Elephas maximus indicus: one gene and its partner. The protein of the gene in region 1 interacts with the protein of each later gene in a biochemical or structural test. Links are inferred from orthologs where the notes say so. Each region holds a gene or a part of one and is shown on either strand. Other genes may lie near its edges. The genes, in order: NUB1 and UBD.

Evidence for each region.
Region 2: the proteins of NUB1 (region 1) and UBD form a complex in vitro, tested with the Homo sapiens proteins (6 studies listed by BioGRID, with this or other methods). The link is inferred for Elephas maximus indicus from reciprocal best matches to the Homo sapiens genes NUB1 and UBD.

What each region holds. Positions count from the first base shown.
Region 1 is NC_064838.1:11,784,651-11,794,225, forward strand, and holds the start of NUB1 (NEDD8 ultimate buster 1), read right to left. Parts: upstream 6,121-9,575; 5' UTR 6,106-6,120; coding exon 5,909-6,105; intron 4,949-5,908; coding exon 4,831-4,948; intron 2,802-4,830; coding exon 2,634-2,801; intron 1,015-2,633; coding exon 956-1,014; intron 36-955; coding exon 1-35. UniProt on the Homo sapiens protein: Specific down-regulator of the NEDD8 conjugation system. Recruits NEDD8, UBD, and their conjugates to the proteasome for degradation. Isoform 1 promotes the degradation of NEDD8 more efficiently than isoform 2.
Region 2 is NC_064819.1:89,213,305-89,222,879, reverse strand, and holds the start of UBD (ubiquitin D), read left to right. Parts: upstream 1-5,037; 5' UTR 5,038-5,084; coding exon 5,085-5,111; intron 5,112-7,886; coding exon 7,887-8,357; 3' UTR 8,358-9,575. UniProt on the Homo sapiens protein: Ubiquitin-like protein modifier which can be covalently attached to target proteins and subsequently leads to their degradation by the 26S proteasome, in a NUB1-dependent manner.

The DNA of each region.
Region 1 (9,575 bases):
TGTAATTTTCTTGAAATCCAAAGGTTTCAGCTATTCTGTAAAATAAAACCAGTGAAAACTATGGGGAAACAAACTTGGTATTTATCATCCATTAAACAGATTTTAATCATGATAACTATTTTATACATTTTATTCAGAAACGCCCAAGTTTACAACTTTATGACGAAGCCACCTTAGTAGATGATTACTCAAAACAGTGTAAGAGGGCAACTAATATCACAAAACAATATGTGTATTAATTGTTTAATAAGAAACTAGTTTGTCCTGTAAACCTTCATCTAAAGTACAGATAAAAAAAAAAAAGCAGTGTTAAGAGACCATGACATTTCTAAACTATCTGCTTACTACGTGTTTCCTCATGAAGTGGAGACCACGTGAGCAGAAGGGCCCTGGCTGATGTAAGGATAAATCCATCCCCTGTATCTTCTATAGGCTCCTTAGAGCCTGCTTCTTAAGCTGAAAACACTGACTGGTGAGCCTTGGAGGTGGACAAAACACTCACCATTTAAAAATATACAAGTAGGTGAAGTAAGTGACCAGATTTCAAAGTTAGGATCTCTACAGTGGGCTGTTATTTTTTCTTTTTATAAATGGGCCAACTGTCTGAAATCAGCTAGAACACTCTGCATTAACAACTACGATTCAATACCAGGCTGTCTCCTTTTTAAATCACTCACTCATGTATTTAAATAAGATCAAGTATCTATTACGGGGTGGGCCCTGAGTTCTGACCAGATTTAAAGTTACATCAGGAAATAAAGAAGAATCTTCTAAGTCTTGAGTTCCCAGCCACTCTGCTCCTTAACTAAGTAACTGAACCTCAAACGCTCATTTTCCCTCCCAACAGATGGAAATAACAATACCTTCCCGACCTCTCTGTTAGGGTGGCCATGAGGACCAGGTGAATAAACATGAAAATAGTCAAGACCTGCGGCCCAGAGCACTTGGCACTTACTTGGACCTCAGTTCCCTGCCAGTGACGTGCAATCGGGTCTCCAGCAAGCTCTTCCTGTCCTATTTAAAAGACAAAATAAAATGTACCTGATTTCAGACTTTCTTTTAGCTATCAGAGCCTGTGTCCACGAAATCAGAAAGATTAATACCAAAGGAGTAAGTACTTAGGTCAAGGAACATAACCATGTGTGCCTAGAGGAGGAAGCCTCCTGAACGTCACTCCTTTGCTGTCCTGAACTGGTGACCAGAGCATCCTCAGGGGAGCACCAACGTGGCAACGTCAGAAAAACCACACAATACCCAGTGGGCATTCGGTCTCTGGTGGGAAGTTACATTCTGTCCCATGGCCATCTTTATTCAAGCTCAACCAACGGACCTGGCCTAAGCTATATAGGACTTGGCCTGCCACCTCCAACAACAGGGCCACCTCGATGAGCAGAAGACACTTCACCTCACCGCACAGTGAGGTTATGACAAGAGGGAGCAAGGAGCCATGTTTTTGGGACCTCTTCATTCTCCACTGGCCAGGCTTAAAATGAAAACCTAGAATCACTAGCAACACCTATGAGGCTAACCAAATCTACTCAGCCTTCTGATTGGTAGTTTGGTTTCCCGAATACTTGACACTAGCGAAGGAGAGTTCTAAGTTTATCACCTTTCAATTCATAAAGTGGCAGGCTGAGATACATTCTTTTCTTTTTCTCATAAAGCTCTTTATTTCCCCTAGAATTTTTTAACTGCTTATTGAGACATTAATTTACATACCATAAGTTCACCTGTTTGAAGTGTGTGATTCAACAGTTTCTAAACATTCACGGTTATACAACTATCACCATAATCCAATTTCAGAATATTTTCATACAAAATCATAAATATGTGGTCTTTTGTGACCGGCTTTTTTCACTTAACATAATGTTACAGCACGAATCCGAGCTTCATTCTTTTTCACTGCTTACCAGTTTTCCACCATATAGACATCTAACGTTTTATTTATCCACTCATCAGCTGATGGGACATTTGGGTTGTTTCCACTTTTTGGCTGTTGTGACTAATGCTGCTATGAACATCTCTGTTTCAGTTTTTTGTGTGGACACAGTTTTCCTTTCTCTTGCAGCAGAAATGCTACTCCTGCGGTGACCCTGAGACATACAGACTTTTATTTCTTTTAAGAATAATTAGCAGTGATCGGTCCTGAAATGCCAGCCACTCTGGTGCCCAGACTCAGTAACATTTCTGGACATGAACTACTGAAGACCTGGCGCTGCCGTAAAGGGGCCCTGCCCAGTACCTCAACCCTGCTGGAGCACTAAGCTTACCCCTGTGACCTCCATCCGAATAGAAAAAAGGATGAATGCCTTTGTGATGTGTTATACCACGAGAGCTTTAGAACACTGAAGGACCTTACTCCCCATTATTTCTAAGCTTTTCCTTGAACTATAGAAAAGATGAGAACGTGAATATAGCTTCACGAAATTGTGGAGGTCTCAAGAGGAAGAAATCTACCTTGTAAGCGTCCTAGTTTAAGAGTTCCTAAAAGTAACTTTTAAGTCAATCAATGTTCAACATGTAAAATAACTTAAAAGAATTATAAATTTGGATGGCAGTTTTTTAAAAAATGACGATTTATTCGATCACTTCATTAAATGACGTACATACGTAAATTTGGAGAAATTACTTACTTTTCTTAGTCTTGGAGGTAAAAATACCTCGATTGTAGCAATTCCTGTTGTTTTATAATTTTCATTTCCTGTTCCACGTTCAATTGCTTTCTGCCGTATTTCTTCTATTATTTTTTCTACCTCATTTTCACAACATTCTAGTTTGTCAGAGTATTTCTTAGCAAGGTCCTATCAAAAAAATCAGAAAATGCAGATCGGTAGAGAACCAACTCAAAAAAAGAAAAGCCAAACACAGACCAGCACATGCAGAACTCGAAGGCAATAAGCTCTGCTGAGGGGCAGTCACCCCTGTTGTAGTGAAACCCAGTCTTTAGGTTGACCTCATGCAAGGTGTGGAGAATTTAGAGATGATCCAGGGAAAAATGAAAACAAATAAAAGCTAAAAAAAAACAGGCCCAACAGGAAAAGTCAAAATAATACTGGGATTATTCCGGGGAAAAGAAGAGCAGGCTAAGACTTAAAAAAAAAAAAAGATGACTACAAATATATACATATAAAAAAAAAATTTTTAAGAAATAGTGAACTCCAAACAATCAACAAGTACTTTAAAACATAGATGAGAATGTGAGGGAGCAGGGAACCAGGAGAACAGAAATACTGAGAATGTTCACACGTTGTGACGAACGTCATCAAAGTCACTGAACAGTGTGTATAGAAACTGTTGAATGGAAACCGAAACTGCTGGGTAAACCTTCACCGAAAACACAATAAAATATTATTTTTTTTTAAAAAAAAAAGAAACAGTTAACTGTTCACCTCCACTGAAGGAAAATAAGGGAAGAAATGGAGAAAACGTTCTAACTAAAGTGAGAACAAGTCCGGTTAGATTTAAATACCACTCTTAAAATTCTGAGTCACTTGTACTGGTTGTGAAATCATTTGCCAGGGAGAACTTTAGGTTTGGGAAAAAGAATTTGGAAGATTTAAGGGGCCTCAAAAATGAACCTGAACCAGTTATTACTTAAAGTGAAGTCATTATGTTCCCTCCCAAAGAAGCTTTGCATTTGGGGTTTAAAGGCTCATAGAGGCATCACACTCCATAAAACAGTAACAGCTGAAAGACACTCAAGTCCCAGGTTTTGTCCAGATTTCTAATAAGGATACTATGCAGCAAAGACTTATAATAGGGAGGGATGTTCGTGATATCTATAAAGCTACATAACAGGAGGAGAGTATTGTATTTTAAAAATAACATAAACCCCTTTGTAATACACATATATTTTAATATTCACATAGGAAAACCATGAAACAATATACCACTAATGATGATATGTTTAATTATTTTTTAAATGTATTATTTAAATTTTTAATTATATACATACATTTTTAAACCCAAGAGTATATATTATTTTTAGCACCAGAAAACACCTAAGACTTTTTTTAACTTCCTGTAATTCTCTGGAAAATCTAAATTTCTTAGTTTCTGAGTCAAGATTATAACAAGCAAATTCAGAAGCAAGGTCACCGGTGGGTTGCAAAAATTAAAAGTGAGACCTATCAGGGACAGAAGAGACAACTCTAAGTCATCTTCTGAGTGCATCACTGTGTCACAGTGCAGGCCACTCTGCTGCCCTCACGATAACCCCCTCCTCATATTCAGGATTCTCCAACTGAAAAAGCAGATGAGTACATGATAGGATTTTCTCATATAACAGGGTTCTATCAAAAATGATTACTGCTTCCCTGCTTTGAAAAGCAGGGAAATGTCAGCTTCTAGAAATTTCACTCATGTAAAATAAAGCCATCTCTGATGACGCCATTGAAAATTTGAGGCCTAACTTCTAGAAAAATATGTTTTGGGAAAATGAACACTGACAGCCATAGTGTAAAAAAGTGAGGGGGGGAGAATCGTTTTACAGACCAAGACGGCAAGGAGAATTGAGAATCAACCAAGATACTATTACCCTAAAAACATAACCAATAACTTACACTGGAACGGCTGAGCTGTCCAGGCAAAATTAGTTTCTAGATTAACACACCTGAGAAATTAGATGACAATGTCATCTAAACAAAATCTTATTAAACAAAAATAAGCTTGTAAACTCCTAGTCAAAGTAGGTACTTGCTTGTCACTGATGCTTCTGGTTATGCCAAAAGTTTATATGGCTGTGCCTGACAATTTCCGGAGATTTCAGAACCTGATTTACCAAGGAGATTTATAACACTGCTAGTTATTTATGTCTTAGAAGAAAAATACCTTCAATGCCAAGCCAACTTCTTTATTTTCATTTGTATACGGAGGTTTCCAAAGTTGAATTCGGTCTTCCCTTAAAAACTGGGTTAATTTTGCTTGAAGATATTTCTTTTGTGCCATCCTTGAAAGCAAAACAATATAACAATAAAATTCCACAGCACATTTCAAACTGTTTTATAACCGACCTAATATGTTGAGGTGTTTTGTAAGACAAGCAGACGTCCTTCCCATTCCTCCCTCTGCAGTTTAAACTCAATTACCCAGTACCATTGAGTCAATTCTGACTCACAGTGGCCCTGCAGAACAGAATACAACTGCCCTATAGGGTCTCCAAGGCTGTAGTCTTTATGGAAGCAGACCGCCACATCTTTCTCCCCTGGAGCAGCTGCCGGATTTGAACTTTCAGTTCTTCAGTTAACAGCCAAGCGCTTTGCTGCTGCACCACCAGGGCCTCCTTTAATCTAAATTACTAAGGTTTTAACCAGCCCCAAACTTCTCTTTAAAAATATAAACATGTGGTAGATAAGAACTACTTTAGGTGAAGGGAAAGACAACACACAATACAGAGGAGGTCAGCACAACTGGACTGAACCAAAAGCAAAAAATTTCCTGAATAAACTGAATGCTTCGAAGGCCAGTATAGCAGGGGCAGGGGTTTGGGGACCATGAATTCAGGGGACATCTAAGTCAACTGGCATAATAAAATCTATTGAGAACATTCTGCATCCCACTTTAAAGAGTGGCGTCTGCAGTCTTAAACATTAGCAAGCAGCCATCTAAGATGCATCAATTGGTCTCAACCCACCTGGATCAAAGGAGAATGAAGAACACCAAGGACGCAAGGTAATTACGAGCCCAAGAGACAAAAAGGGCCACATGAACCAAAGACTACATCAGCCTGAGACCAGAAGAACTAGATGGTGCCCGGCTACAACCGATGACTGCCCTGACAGAGAACACATCAGAGAACCCCTGAGGGAGCAGGAGAGCAGTGGGATGCAGACCCCAAATTCTCATAAAAAGACCAGACTTAATGCTCTGACTGAGACTAGAAGGACCCCGGTGGTCATGGCCCCCAGACCTTCTGTTGGCCCAGGACAGGAACCATTCCCGAAGCCAACTCTTCAGACATGGATTGGACTGGACAATGGGTTGGAGAGGGATGCTGGTGAGGACTGAGCTTCTTGGATCAGGTGGGCACTTGGGACTATGTTGGCATCTCCTGCCTGGAGGGGAGATGAGAGGGTGGAGGCGGTTAGAAGCTAGAGAAATGGACATGAAAAGAGAGTGGAGGGAGAGAGCGGGCTGTCTCATTAGGGGGAGAGTAATTGCGAGGGTGTAGCAAGGTGTATATACGTTTTTAGGTGAGAGACTGACTTGATTTGTAAACTTTCACTTAAAGCACAATAAAAATTATAAAAAATACAAACACACACACAGATGTACTATTTCAAAATTACTAATATGCAGCAAGGTTTACTACACTTTTCTATTTCTTAATATATTATTCTCCTAGGAGAAAAATGAAACTTAACTATTAAGCATTATATCATACAATGACTTGTGACAATGAACTTTTATAAGCAAATCAACACAGAGCTTGTACATTCTTTTATAATTTAATACAAAACAATAGGTCAACCACTCTGGTAGTTAAAGAAAAGCTATCTTGAACCGTGAACTACCAACAGTAAATATTCTCTATACTGAATTTTTTAATTAAAAAAGTTTTATAACACTAGCAAAATTTTTCATAATATTTTGTGGTAACAGCACACTAACACATAAGCTATTCAGTTACAACACTTTTTGGGTCATCATTTTACAGCCAAGAAAACTGAGGTCCTAGGTTTGGAAAATGACTTGGCCAAGGTCACAGCATTAGGCAGAGTCATAAGCAGCTCTGGAACCTCTGCCTACGATACTGGACTCTGCATTTTGAAAGGCAACCGCCTGCTGCTTTTCTGTTCTCTGTTGGTAATGCCACTCTCCTGAAAAGCCACAGCCCACAGTGGAAGTGTCCATTCATCTCACTCTAAAGCAGCCATTCAGTGGTGTGGGTGAGGCTGCTAATGAGGAGACATCTGACAAGCGTGTCCCGTGGCACAGTGGTTAAGAGATACAGCTACTGATCAAAAGGTTGCCAGTTCAAATCCACCAGCTGCTCCTTGGAAACCCCATGGGGCAGTTCTACCCTGTCCTATAGATTCACTATGAGTTGCAATCGACTTGACGCAACGGGTTTCAAGATCAGACAAGCAGTAAGAAAAGTGAAAAGTTACTAGCTCCTGGCTGAGAGGAAGAGAGAATGGGGTTATTGCCTAAGGGGCACTGAGTTTCAGTTTGTGGCGATGAAAACTTTCGGAAATACATTGATGATGGCTGCACAACATGGTGAATGTAATGAATGTCACCGAAATGGACATTTAAGAATGGTTAAAATGGGAAACTTTTTGTCATCTATGTTATTACAATAAAATGATTTTTTTTTCTTTCATTATAAGTAACTTTCTTTTTTCCATTGAAGGTCACTATTCCACACCCTCAAAACCCAATTCACCTGATTTTTAAATCAGGTCTAGTAACTTAAACGTATGTAATAAACAAAATTTTTTTTTAAAGAAAATCAAAACCTATTTTATGTCAGTTTGGGGGTGAGAAATACGGTCATCAGGATAGGAAGGCACAAAGGGAAGAAGGAATAAACACAGCCAAGGAAGGTGTGTACATCCTGTATGACCCATGAAAGAACCCCAGGTTTTCAAGCACTGACACACCTTTTCGCACAGAAAAGCCCAGCAGTACTTAGGCACCTCACCTTGTCAAGTGCAAACCCCTCGACCACTACACAGTTATACTCCTGACCCCTAAATCTTCAGATTCTGAATAAAATATCACAGCAACCCCAGTGAGGGGAATAACCTCATGGGCTTCTCCGTGGAGCCAGGCCATGTGAAGGTGAACGCACAGCCCTCCCAGACCCCATCCAGGCCACCACCTGGCCAGAGGGCAAACGGGCTTCACAAACCCAGCTGGTCCACACACGCGGCGCAAAGCAACAACTCAGGGTCTACGCTGCGCGAGACCTTTGTAAAAAAATTACTCCACTCTCTGAAACTTACAAAACCTCAGTTACAGATAACAGAGAGAGCCACGACACGAATTTTAAATAAACGAAAAAGGAACACAGTTTAATAGGTCGGTTTTCCACGTTAAGTGGATAACCGAGAAAGCCGGTTTCAGGCCTGCGTACAAAATTCAACCAAAAAAGCTGACACATTAACTGCCCCGAAGTGAAAGTGAAACGTTTCAACCACTCCTTTGAAAGTTTCTTCCACTTTCCTAGGAACTGATCGAGGCTACCTTTATCCAAAGCTTTTCAATTGTATCCAATTTTCTTCTTACCTTTTAAAAGGAGTCCTGAAAGATAATTGTACTGGAAAAGAACAGAAAAGGAAGGAGAAATACAGACTCAGATGGTCAAGGTTCGAAAAAATTCACTATTTATTCATTAAACAGCCAAGAATCTCTGGCTTTGATTGCAAATAAATCCCAAAAGTCATATCTGGAATAATACCGCTACGATTCAAGCTTTCTGCTTGTCTCGTTCCATAAAACCAAAAAACCCCAAACCCGTCGCGGCGGAGTCGGCTCCGAGTCCTAGGTCCCCGAGGGCCAGAGCCGAGCTGCCCCGCAGGGTTTCCAGGCTGCGAGCCTCACGAAGCGGACCGCCACGTCCCTCGCCCGCGACACGCACACACGCCGCGCAAATACACTCATTTCTCTTTCTCCAAAAGGCAACACAACTGAATTTCTTTTAATGCCCCCGCCGCCGCCCCATCCCGCCCAGACCCGGCCGGCCCGCCGCCGCCGCCACAGCCGGCGAGGCTCGGGGACGCGGGGCCGGGAGCCCGCCTGCCCGCCGCCCTCACCTGCGCCACCGCCGCGCCCGCCGCCCGCCGAGTGCCCGGATGCGGCCCGGCCGTTCGTTTTCATTCCGGGTGAGACCGGCCCCGCCGCGCCGCCCGCGCGCCGTCCGGAAGGCCGCCGAGGCGGGGGGCGGAGCTCGGGCCTGGGCCTGGGCCTGCCGCCTGGGCCGCCGGGCCTGGCCTCTCCAACAGCTTTAGGAGAGAACGGGGTACGCCGCAAGGAGAGCCGTCTCCCCCGGAGTGGGGCCGGGACCCCACGGCCCGTGCGCCCTCAGGGTGGGATTAAGAGCTTCCCCCCAACTGGCCGCCCCAGCGTTTGCCAGGCTAAACGCCCTACCTACCTACCCATCGCCGTGATTAGCGACGGTGTCTGCTGAGAGCTGCCTGCTTCCAAAGCGCTCCGCACCCACAGCTCCCAGTTTCTCCCACAGGCCCCAAGACCACAGGTGCTGGGCAGCTGATCTTCCCAGACAGCTCCTGTAAATATCTGGCACCCCAAATGCAGGCTGACTGGAGCCAGGAAGCCCCTGAATTCATCCACTGATGAGGCCACTTCTCACCCTAAAAAGAGACCCACAGAGGGAAGAGTTACCCTATGGGAGCATAAACCCACACTGCTCCCTGACCCTACCATCCCTTGTCCCCTCCATCAGAAAGCACACATTGGCCTTGGTACATAAGTGGAATTTTATACACATTGTTCCGCCACCTTTTTTTCTCATTTAATTACATAGTCTGCTTTACATCTTTGTATGTCACTACGTATAGATTTTCCTGATTCTAATAAATGAATAGCATAACACGTATTTAGTTATGTCT
Region 2 (9,575 bases), on another chromosome or scaffold:
TTTCCACCCTGGGTTCCCTGTTTCTTTTAGTCCTGACTTTCTACCCCTTCCTCCCTTGTCATCTTTGCTTTTAGGCAGATATTGCCCTTTTGATCTCCTATAATTAATTGTTCTAAGGAGTACATTCCTCTTGGATGTTGTTGTTTACCTTATGTGCTTGTCTGTTGTTTGACTGGGAGGTGGTCTCTGGGAATGGCTTCAGTTCCAGGTCAAAAGGGTGTCTTAGGGTCACTGTCTCTGTCAGACCAGTAAGTAAAATTTGATTTTTTTTCTACAATTTTTCTCCTGCTCTTCCCAGGACCCTCTGTTGTGATCCCAGTCAGAGCAGTCCTAGTAGCTTTTTGACTGAGTTTGCTTGGCACTTCTGAAGCAATGTTGTAGATCTCAAAGTAGTTTCACAAACTCTTTCTGGACATTATTAAAGAGAAGGGGAAAGAGATTTCTGCCCCAGGGGAGCCTCAGTGGGTACAGTGATTAGTCCAAGACCACCTCCCACCAGCCAGGGGGTAGCTGAGCAGTTTGTTGATATCTAAGTCATTTGTTTTATTCCCTTAACCTAGGAAGATCTCCACAGTCTGATCTTTACCGTGGCTGGTTTTTGAATTTGTAAGAAAGACAAATGAAAAGAGATCTTTCTGCCTTTGAAAGAACTTATTATGATACAAGGAAAAATGAAAGTCAAGTTGCCATTGCAGTATGAAGCAAGGAGGCCAGGTTCTAAGAACAAATCCCTCCTGTGATCAGAAATGAGGTCATTCAGGGTATCTGGGGTAGCTTTTTCCCTGGCCTTGGACAGGAAGGAAATTTCGTATAGGAACAGAAGAGGGAGACAAGACAGGAGTACAGATTTGTTTTTCACATTCCTTGAAAAAGCACTGGTTTTCAGAAACCAGGTGCTATCTGGGTAGGGAATTCCCAGAATTAGTTTTTCCCAGGAGGGACCTTTGTCTTGCCCTCGCAGGCACCTTATGCTGAAAATCCCCAACTCCTGTGGGTGGCTTCTCTGTTGCCACTCCAGTGTATGGCCAATCAGGAACAGCATGATGCTGGTGAGTTTCCAGTGGAGATATCTATTCCTGATTTGTGAAGCTTGTAAGGGGAGGGAGGCTCACTTTAATTGACGAGAAGGGGTGACTGACCAACCTCTAAGACCCTGCCTGGGAATGGAGACCTCGGGACTTTAGTTTTTGCTTTGCCCTAACGGTCGAGGAGGTCCAGGGGAAGCCTATGGAACTTCGTGATGATGGGAGTTAGTGTTATCAGGCAGTCTTGAAATTTCACAGTTCTGGGAGAAGAGTTCTAGCTGACCTTTCCACCAGGCTTCCACCTTCCTTCAGGCTTTGACTCTTGTACTCTTGAGCTCTTGGCTCACCTCTGCCAAGTGGGGAAGGGTGGTGGTGCTCCAGGCAGATCCTACCATCCAGGTATATGCCTGCCCTCTCTTAGACTTTGAACCTCTTCTTGCTTTCATGCATCTCAAGACTCTCTGTAGCTCCCTGACTGCTTTTCTTTGCCTTCCTCAAATTTGTACATTTCCTGTAACAAGGTACGCATGTGCATGCACTTTTTCTTTTCACTGAAGCGACACAATATGATCATAACAAGACATGGACTATAATTATAGGTTTGCATCTTAACACTTGCTTACCAGCTGCTACTAATATGACTGTGGCGAGTTAGCATTTTGCTTATGTCAACAAGGACACTGATAATTATCTGGCTACACTACTGAGACAATAAATGATGTAACATTTAATAATATCTTGGGTTGTTGTGGAGCTGTGGTGGTGCAGTGGTTAAGTCCTCAGCTGCTAACTGAAAGGTTGGGGTTTGAACCCACCAGCCACTCCACAGGAAAAAGATGTGGCAGTCTCCTTCCATAAAGATTTACAGCCTTGGAAACCCCATGGGCAGTTCTACTTTGTCCTGTAGGGTTGCTATGAATTGGAATCGACTGGTCAGCAATGGATTTGGTTCGGGTGTTGGGTTGTTGTTGTTGTGTGCCCTCAAGTTGATTCCGACTCATAGCAACCCTACAGAACAGAGTAGAACTTCCCCATAGGGAGAGCAGATTGTCAGGTCTTTTCTCCTGTGGAGCTGCTGGTATGTTAGAACCCCTGACCTTTCAGTTAGCTGCCCAGTGCTTAACAATTATGCCACCAAAAAACAAAACCAAACTCAGTGCCATTGAGTCGATTCTGACTCATAGCGACACTATAGGACAGAGTAGAACTGCCCCATAGAGTTTCCAAGGAGCCCCTGGCAGATTTGAACTGCCGACCCTTTGGTTAGCAGCTGTAAAACTTAGCCACTACTCCCAGAACTCCTTAATATCTTGGTAGTCCCTGAAATATATATAGTATCCACTAAACATTTAGCACTAAATATATTTTTGTTGTTCACTTAATTATTCAATGATTTATCAATTCATTCATGCATTTAGTAAATATTAAGTGGTTCGAACTCACCCAGTTGCTCCAGGGGAGAAAGACCTGGCTGTCTACTTCCATAAAGATTACAGCCTAGAAAGCCCTGTGGGGCAGTTCTGCTCTGTCACTTGGGGTCATGATCAGTCAGAGTTGCCTACTTGGCACCCAACAACAATAACTTACTGTGTTAGACACCATGTGGAACAGTGTTGAGGATACAAGTTAATTAAGACATAATCCGGATCCACAAGATTTCTACTGTTTACTGGAGACGACAGGAAAGAAGAAGGAGAAACAGGTTCTGAGAGGCTTGCGCAGGGAGAATGGGAGGACAGAAGATGGGCACATAATCCAGAATAGGGAAGAAGAGAGTCAGAGAAGGCTTTCTGGAGGAGATGCTGCTTATACTGTGCATTCTTATAAATTCATGCTGTTGGAGGGAAAGGCCGGCCACGCAGAGGGAATGGTATGCTAAAAGGCCTGGGGGTGATAGAGAGCTTTGTGTGTTCAAGGATATGCAAGGAATTCAGGGAACAGTGCACAGAAGCTGCTAAACCTACAGGTCTGAAGCTCTGGTCTGTGCAAATGTAATTCCTGGGAAATGTCATTACTGAGCTCCTCCCCCTGGAGTTCTGGTTAAGTTTCCTTTCTGTTCCTGACAATGCAGACATTGACTCCAAGATGCAGACATAGGCTACTGAGGAGAGAAGGGCAAAGACAGGAAGGGTGTGAGAAGAGAATGGTTTAATTTTAATTAGACTTTATCCACTTACTCTCTCTCTTGCCTTCTGAGGAATAACATGAAAATCTAAGACGGTAATGGATGCAAATAAAGTCTGAAAAGTGAAAAGCAGTTCACACAAGTCTGGGCTTGTATAACTTTTCCTTTCCCCCTTTCCAGGCCCTTCCCCCATCTCTACCCTGTTGAAAGGCTTTCTCTTTTCCTGTCACCCTCAACCTGATCTGACATTTTCTGCCTAGCCACTGGTGATGTTTCAGAATTCCAAAATCCTATTGGACAATGGATGAAGGGGCATTGTTCTCTGCGGTGTAGCCGTCAAAGGCACAACCCTCAAGTGTTGGTTTCTAAACACACTTGGAACAATGGGAACTGGGTGAGATATCTGAAAGAAGAATAGCAAGGGCCAATAGTTTCCAGTCTGTTCCATTCTATGTGCTTAAAAAAGTATGTTCACCCCACAAAATACATTTAAGTAATAGTTTTTCTAATCTTATTAACTGATTATACAACAAGCATTAAAATAACATGGTACGTATAGTACTTTTTGAAATACTGGAATGAGCTCTTGGATCCCATTACTCTACATGGACACCTCTATAAATTCAAGTTCTCCAGGATGGAAACCCCTAGAATAAAATGGGGTCATCTGAGACCTATTAGTGAGTGAAGGTACAATAAATGGCCATTGACAGCATATCAAACAAAGATGATAACTTGGCATTGTTATAGACTTTGCAAAAAAAAAAAAATTGAAATGCTTTAAATAAATTCTTTCAAAAAAATTTGTTCCGTGGCAATGTCTTGAGAGTTTGGGAGAGGGCAATGATTACTTTGGAATGCTAGAAGAATCACAGTGGCAGAGTAAATTTCCTGAGAGCACAGAGCTAATGCATTTCTTTTTTGTCTCAACCCAAATGTCAAGATGAAGGGAGTGAGCAGTACCTTTAGGTTTTCTCTGAGATCACAGCAGTGGGGAGAGTCCTGGGGGAAAGGTGGGGAAATAGAGGCACTGTGGTGTGAGAATGGATGTGGATGATTCTGTTGGCTTGTGATTGGTATGTGAAAGGTGGGAGTCGGCATTTGATTTTTGGCTTTGAATTGTTTTCAAGTACTGAGCTTGGTTTGCAGATTCTGGGACATGTTAGGAAGTGTGCTGACTAGCTCAAGACCCAGTATTCCAAAGTTCTTTTTGTAAGGACATTTTATAAACAAAGTTTTTTGAGCCTGGAAGACACTTAAGAATCATCTCCAATCATCTCATCTTATGGATCAGGAAGCCAGTATCTAAGGAGATGAACAGACTTGGCCAAGATAATATACCAAGGTAACCTTGGGACTTGAACTCATGTATCCTCTCAGTCGAGGGTTATTTATCCTATGCCCTCTCAAAAAATGTCTCACTTTCTGTCAGCCCACTGTGAATAGGCTGCTCGCAAGACACATCACTCCATACCACCCCTGACTGTCCTCTCCTAGGCAGCCTTGCTCTCAGGAAAAGCCCTGACTCTGACTGATGGAGGAGTCATAAAAACATCAGAGGAGGACTAATGAGCATAAAAGGTCTTCATTGCCAGTGAGGGCTCAGGGCTGAGGGTTGCACAATCACAAATCAGGATTGGGAGTGAGGATGTAGGGGTGTTAATCAGGGAAAAAACAGGGCCAGAAAGGACCATCCCATGTTTTCAACAAAGAATGCAAATAGATTGGCTGAGGCGAGAAGAACCTGATCAGAAAGTATTCTTTGCTTATTAACTAACCACACCTCAGCAAAAGTGAAAGATTTCTGAGAACTTGCAAGAACAAAGGGCACAGGAAAGCTATCTGGGCAGGGGATTTCCAACTCCCTTGCTTGCATATAAGCTCCAGTTGAGGTCCCTTTTGTGTTTCCTGTTTCTGCTCTCTTGACTGCAGCGATGGCTCCCAATGCGTCCTGCCTCTGTGTAAGTTGGGATTTGATAAAGGAGGTGGAGAAAGGAAAGGTATTTCCAAGCTTTGGGGAGAAACTTCAGTAACTGGACTGAGGGTGGTACTTGGGAAGGCAGGGTGGCTGGGAAGGCATCTTGAAAAAAAGAGGATAGGATTGATATCTGCACAATGAGAGGAAGGGTCCTGTGTAGAGAAGCTGGTCCTTCAGATTCTGAGTTCTCCTTTGTGTCAGACCTTGGACTGGCCACTGTTAGGGATAAATGGTAGGGAGTGGGGGTGCTCAATGAAGCTGGCAAGATTTGAAATTATGGAAGTGTTTTCTTGAGCCCCTTCCTCTCTATCCCATTTGGCGGTCCAGGGCTCTTAAGCTTTCCTCTCCTCCCCAAAGGGCTTCACAAAACACATTTATCTTGAGTTGTTAATGACCTAATATATTACTTTATATGAGAATAGATGCATTATGAAGAGCATCTGGGATGCTTAACACAGAGGAGTGACATTTTAGTGAAAGAATGTCAAACAGTATTAGCAATGCCTAAGTTGGGAGGAGATTTAAAAAAAAAAATTTATCGTGCTTTAAGTGAAAGTTTACAAATAAAGTCAGTCTCTCAAACAAAAATTTATAAACACCTTGCTATATACTCCTAATTGCTCTCCCCCAATAAGACAGCCCACTCCTTCCCTCCACTCTCTCTTTTCATGTCCCTGCTGCCAACTTCTGGCCCCCTCTGCCCTCTCATCTCCCCTCCAGATAGGAGATGCCAACATAGCCTCAAGGGTCTACTTGATCCAAGGAGCTCATTCTTCACCAGCATCTTTTTCTATCCTATTGTCCAGTCCAATCCCTGTCTGAAGAGTTGGCTTTGGGAATGGTTCCTGTCTTGGGCTGACAGAAGGTCTGGGGGCCATGACCACTGGGGTCCTTCTAGTCTCAGTCAGATCATTAAGTCTGGTCTTTTTAAGAAAATTTGGGTTCTGCATCCCACAGCTCTCCTGCTCCCTCAGGGGTTATCTGTTGTGTTCCCTATCAGGGCAGTCATCAGTTGTAGCCGGGCACCATCTAGTTCTTTTGGTCTCAGGCTGACATAGTTATTGGTTTATGTGGCCCTTTCTGTCTCTTGGGCTCATAATTACCTTGGTGTTCTTCATTCTCCTTTGGTCCAGGTGGGTTGAGACTAATTGATGCACCTTAGATGGCTGCTTGCTAGTGTTTAAGACCCCAGACGCCACTCTCCAAAGTGGGATGCAGAATGTTTTCTTAATAGATTTTATTATGCCAATTGACTTAGACATCCCCTGAAACCAGGGTCCCCAGACCCCTACCCTGCTACGCTGGCCTTCGAAGCATTCGGTTTATTCAGGAAACTTCTTTGCTTTTGGTTTAGTCCAATTGTGCTGACCTCTTCTGTATTGTGTGTTATCTTTCCCTTCACCTAAAGTAGTTCTTACCTACTATCTAATTAGTGAGTACCCCTCTTCCTTCCTTCCTCCCTTCCCCTCTCTTAACCATCAAAAAATATTTTCTTCTCTGTTTAAACTATTTCTCGAGTTCTCATAGTAGTGGTTGTATACAATATTTGTCCTTTTGCAACTGACTAATTCACTCAGCATAATGCCTTCCAGATTCCTCCATGTTATGGAATGTTTCACAGATTCATCACTGTTCTTTACTGATGCATAGTGCTCCTTTGTGTGAATATACCATAATTTATTTATCCATTCATCCATTGATTGGACCTTGGTTGCTTCCATGTTTTTGCTATTGTAAACAGTGCTGCAATGAACATGGGTGTGCATATATCTGTTTGTATAAAGGCTCTTATTTCTCTAGGATACATTTCAAGGAGCGGGATTGCTGGATCATATGGTAGTTCTATTTCTAGCTTTTAAAGCAAGTGCCAAATCGATTTCCAAAGTGGTTTTACCATTTTACATTCCCACCAGCAGTGTATAAGTGTTCCAATCTCTCCGTAACCTCTCCAACATTTATTGTGTTTTTTGGATTAATGCCAGTCTTGTTCAAGTGAGATGGAATCTTATTGTAGTTTTGATTTGCATTTCTCTAACGGCTAATGATCGTGAACATTTGGGCAGAGATTTTTGAATGGGGTCTCAGGGAGGTCTTCAAAGGCTTTCAAGTGACAGCACAAGGGTGAACTTTCCATCTTTCAGAATTTGCCAGGTACTGAAGTAAGACTTGGATATATTTCCTACCTTCTGTGAATGAGGTCTGGTCTTATTAAAGAAGATCATATTCTACAATAGGCAGATACAAAAACACAGGAAACATAGATTACCAAGCCATTTTGAACACAGTGCCACCGTAATATATGAGTTGTCATTATAAATCAATGGACATTAAAAAGGAAACTAACAGTACAGAGATTATGCATCCTAACCAGGGTTTCCTTCTAGAGTAGTCAAGGGAGGCAGACCTGTGAGTATCCAGTGAGGCTGCCAAGTCTTGAAAACTGTCAGTAGGAGTTGATTTTAGAATATAGTGTACACATTTTGAAGCTTTGTAGTTGGATTTACTTGTTTTTAATTATATTTTAGGATGAAGAAGAGGTGTGGTTATAAAGTCATAAGACTTATTTCCTTCTTTGTATTTTAAACAAGCAGTTCCAAAAGAGATGTTCCAAGAAAGTGAAAGACACAGATTGGTGGAAAGTAGTGGGAGGACCTGACAGGCAGGGGAAGGGCTGGAGCAATTAAGGTGGGGGGACAGGGGTGTAAAGGGTGGCAGACATTTTAGGCAACTGTCTCTTGACTCTTATTGCCCTGCCCAGGTGAATGTCCATTCTGAGGAATGGAAATTGATGACCTTCACTGCCGACCAGGATGACAGAGTAAAGAAGATCAATGAACATGTCCGGTCCAAGACCAAGGTTCCCGTGCAGGACCAGATCCTTCTGCTGGGCTCGAAAACCCTACAGCCCCAGAGAACACTTTCGTCTTATGGCATTGACAAGGAGAAGACCATCCACCTCACTCTGAAGGTGGTGAAGCCCAGTGATGAGGAGCTGCCCATGGTTCTGGTGGAGTCAGGTGATGAAGGGCAGAGACATCTCCTTCAGGTGCGGCGGTCCAGCTCAGTGGCCCAGGTGAAAAAGATGATCGAGTTGAAGACTGCTATAACTCCTGAGACCCAGATTGTGACTTGCAATGGAAAGAAACTGGAAGATGGGAAGACTATGGCAGATTACGGCATCAGAAAGGGCAATTTGCTTTTCCTGACACACCACTGCATTGGGGGTTGACCACTCTAGGGATGGGGTGACATCAGGAGGAAAAGAGCTTACTTTCTTTTAGCTTTTACTCACTGAACGTATCTTTTGATGGTTTTCCAAAATTTTATAAAAGGGAATAAACAGAAAAAGATTCAGGATGAGGTGGGGAGGGAATATTTTTCCAACTCTGATTCTTTGATTCCAACACAATTAAGTGGCTGGATTATGTATGGTATCGCCGAGAAAAGAAAACGAATCACTAAGGCATACTAGAGACAGCGTTCAAAACCAGCTTACAATTGAATTCCTTCTTGGTTTCCTATGATTTATAGAAAAACTCTTATTTTCTTTCCTATCTAACAAGATATAGTAAGTTTTAGATTGGAATCTAGGTTTTGCTAATTTCTATGTTTCTGTGAATGTTTAGCCCAGTGCTTCACGTATAATATCACCCAGTGACTATTGAATCAAACTGAATTTCCACCCATAGAGAAGAGTGAAATAAATGATTCATTTTGAAGTGGATTAGTTACTCTGACACAGTCACAATTTAACTCATAGAGAATTTATAAATTTAATAAATTACTTTTTCTCTATTTAAGGGCATTTGGTATAAAATGAAACCTGGCACTGTGCCCCTACCTACCCTCTATGTCCCCCACAGATTTAAAATTGTTCTTCTTTCTGGGCATGGTAGTGGGCACAGAGATATTTTCCATGGGAATCTAGAGACGCCATGTCTCTAGTAGGGGCTCCTTGGGGGCAGATGTTCTTCAGGTGGGAATGGACTTTCTGAAAGGTGAGGGATTGTAGAGCAGTCTCTGTCCTGCCTGCCTTAATGTCTAGCAAGTCTTCTGCAGGTTGGGGCTATCAGTTTGGTGGAGAGAGATAAGGCGTTGGCCCCTGGGCTGACAATGATATCCTGCCCAAGTTCTGGCTGATGGAGCATTTTTCGCTGTTTCCTTCACCACCAGGTCCCTGCTTCTCTCTTGGGAAATCAAGTCCCCTCTTTCCTCCTCCTTCCTCCATTTATTCCTCTCTCTCACAGTCCTTCTTTCATGTCTTGCTGCTGATCACTTGCAAGCTGGCTTTTTTTTTTTTTTAACAACCTGAAACCTGTCCTCCTTCTTTCCCACCAGTTCTAGTTTCTTCCTTAAAACTGGCTCAGAACCATCTCCTACAAGAGAGTTCCCTACCTTCATCCCACCCAGCACAATCACTATACTTATGGTTATTGGTTATTCCTCA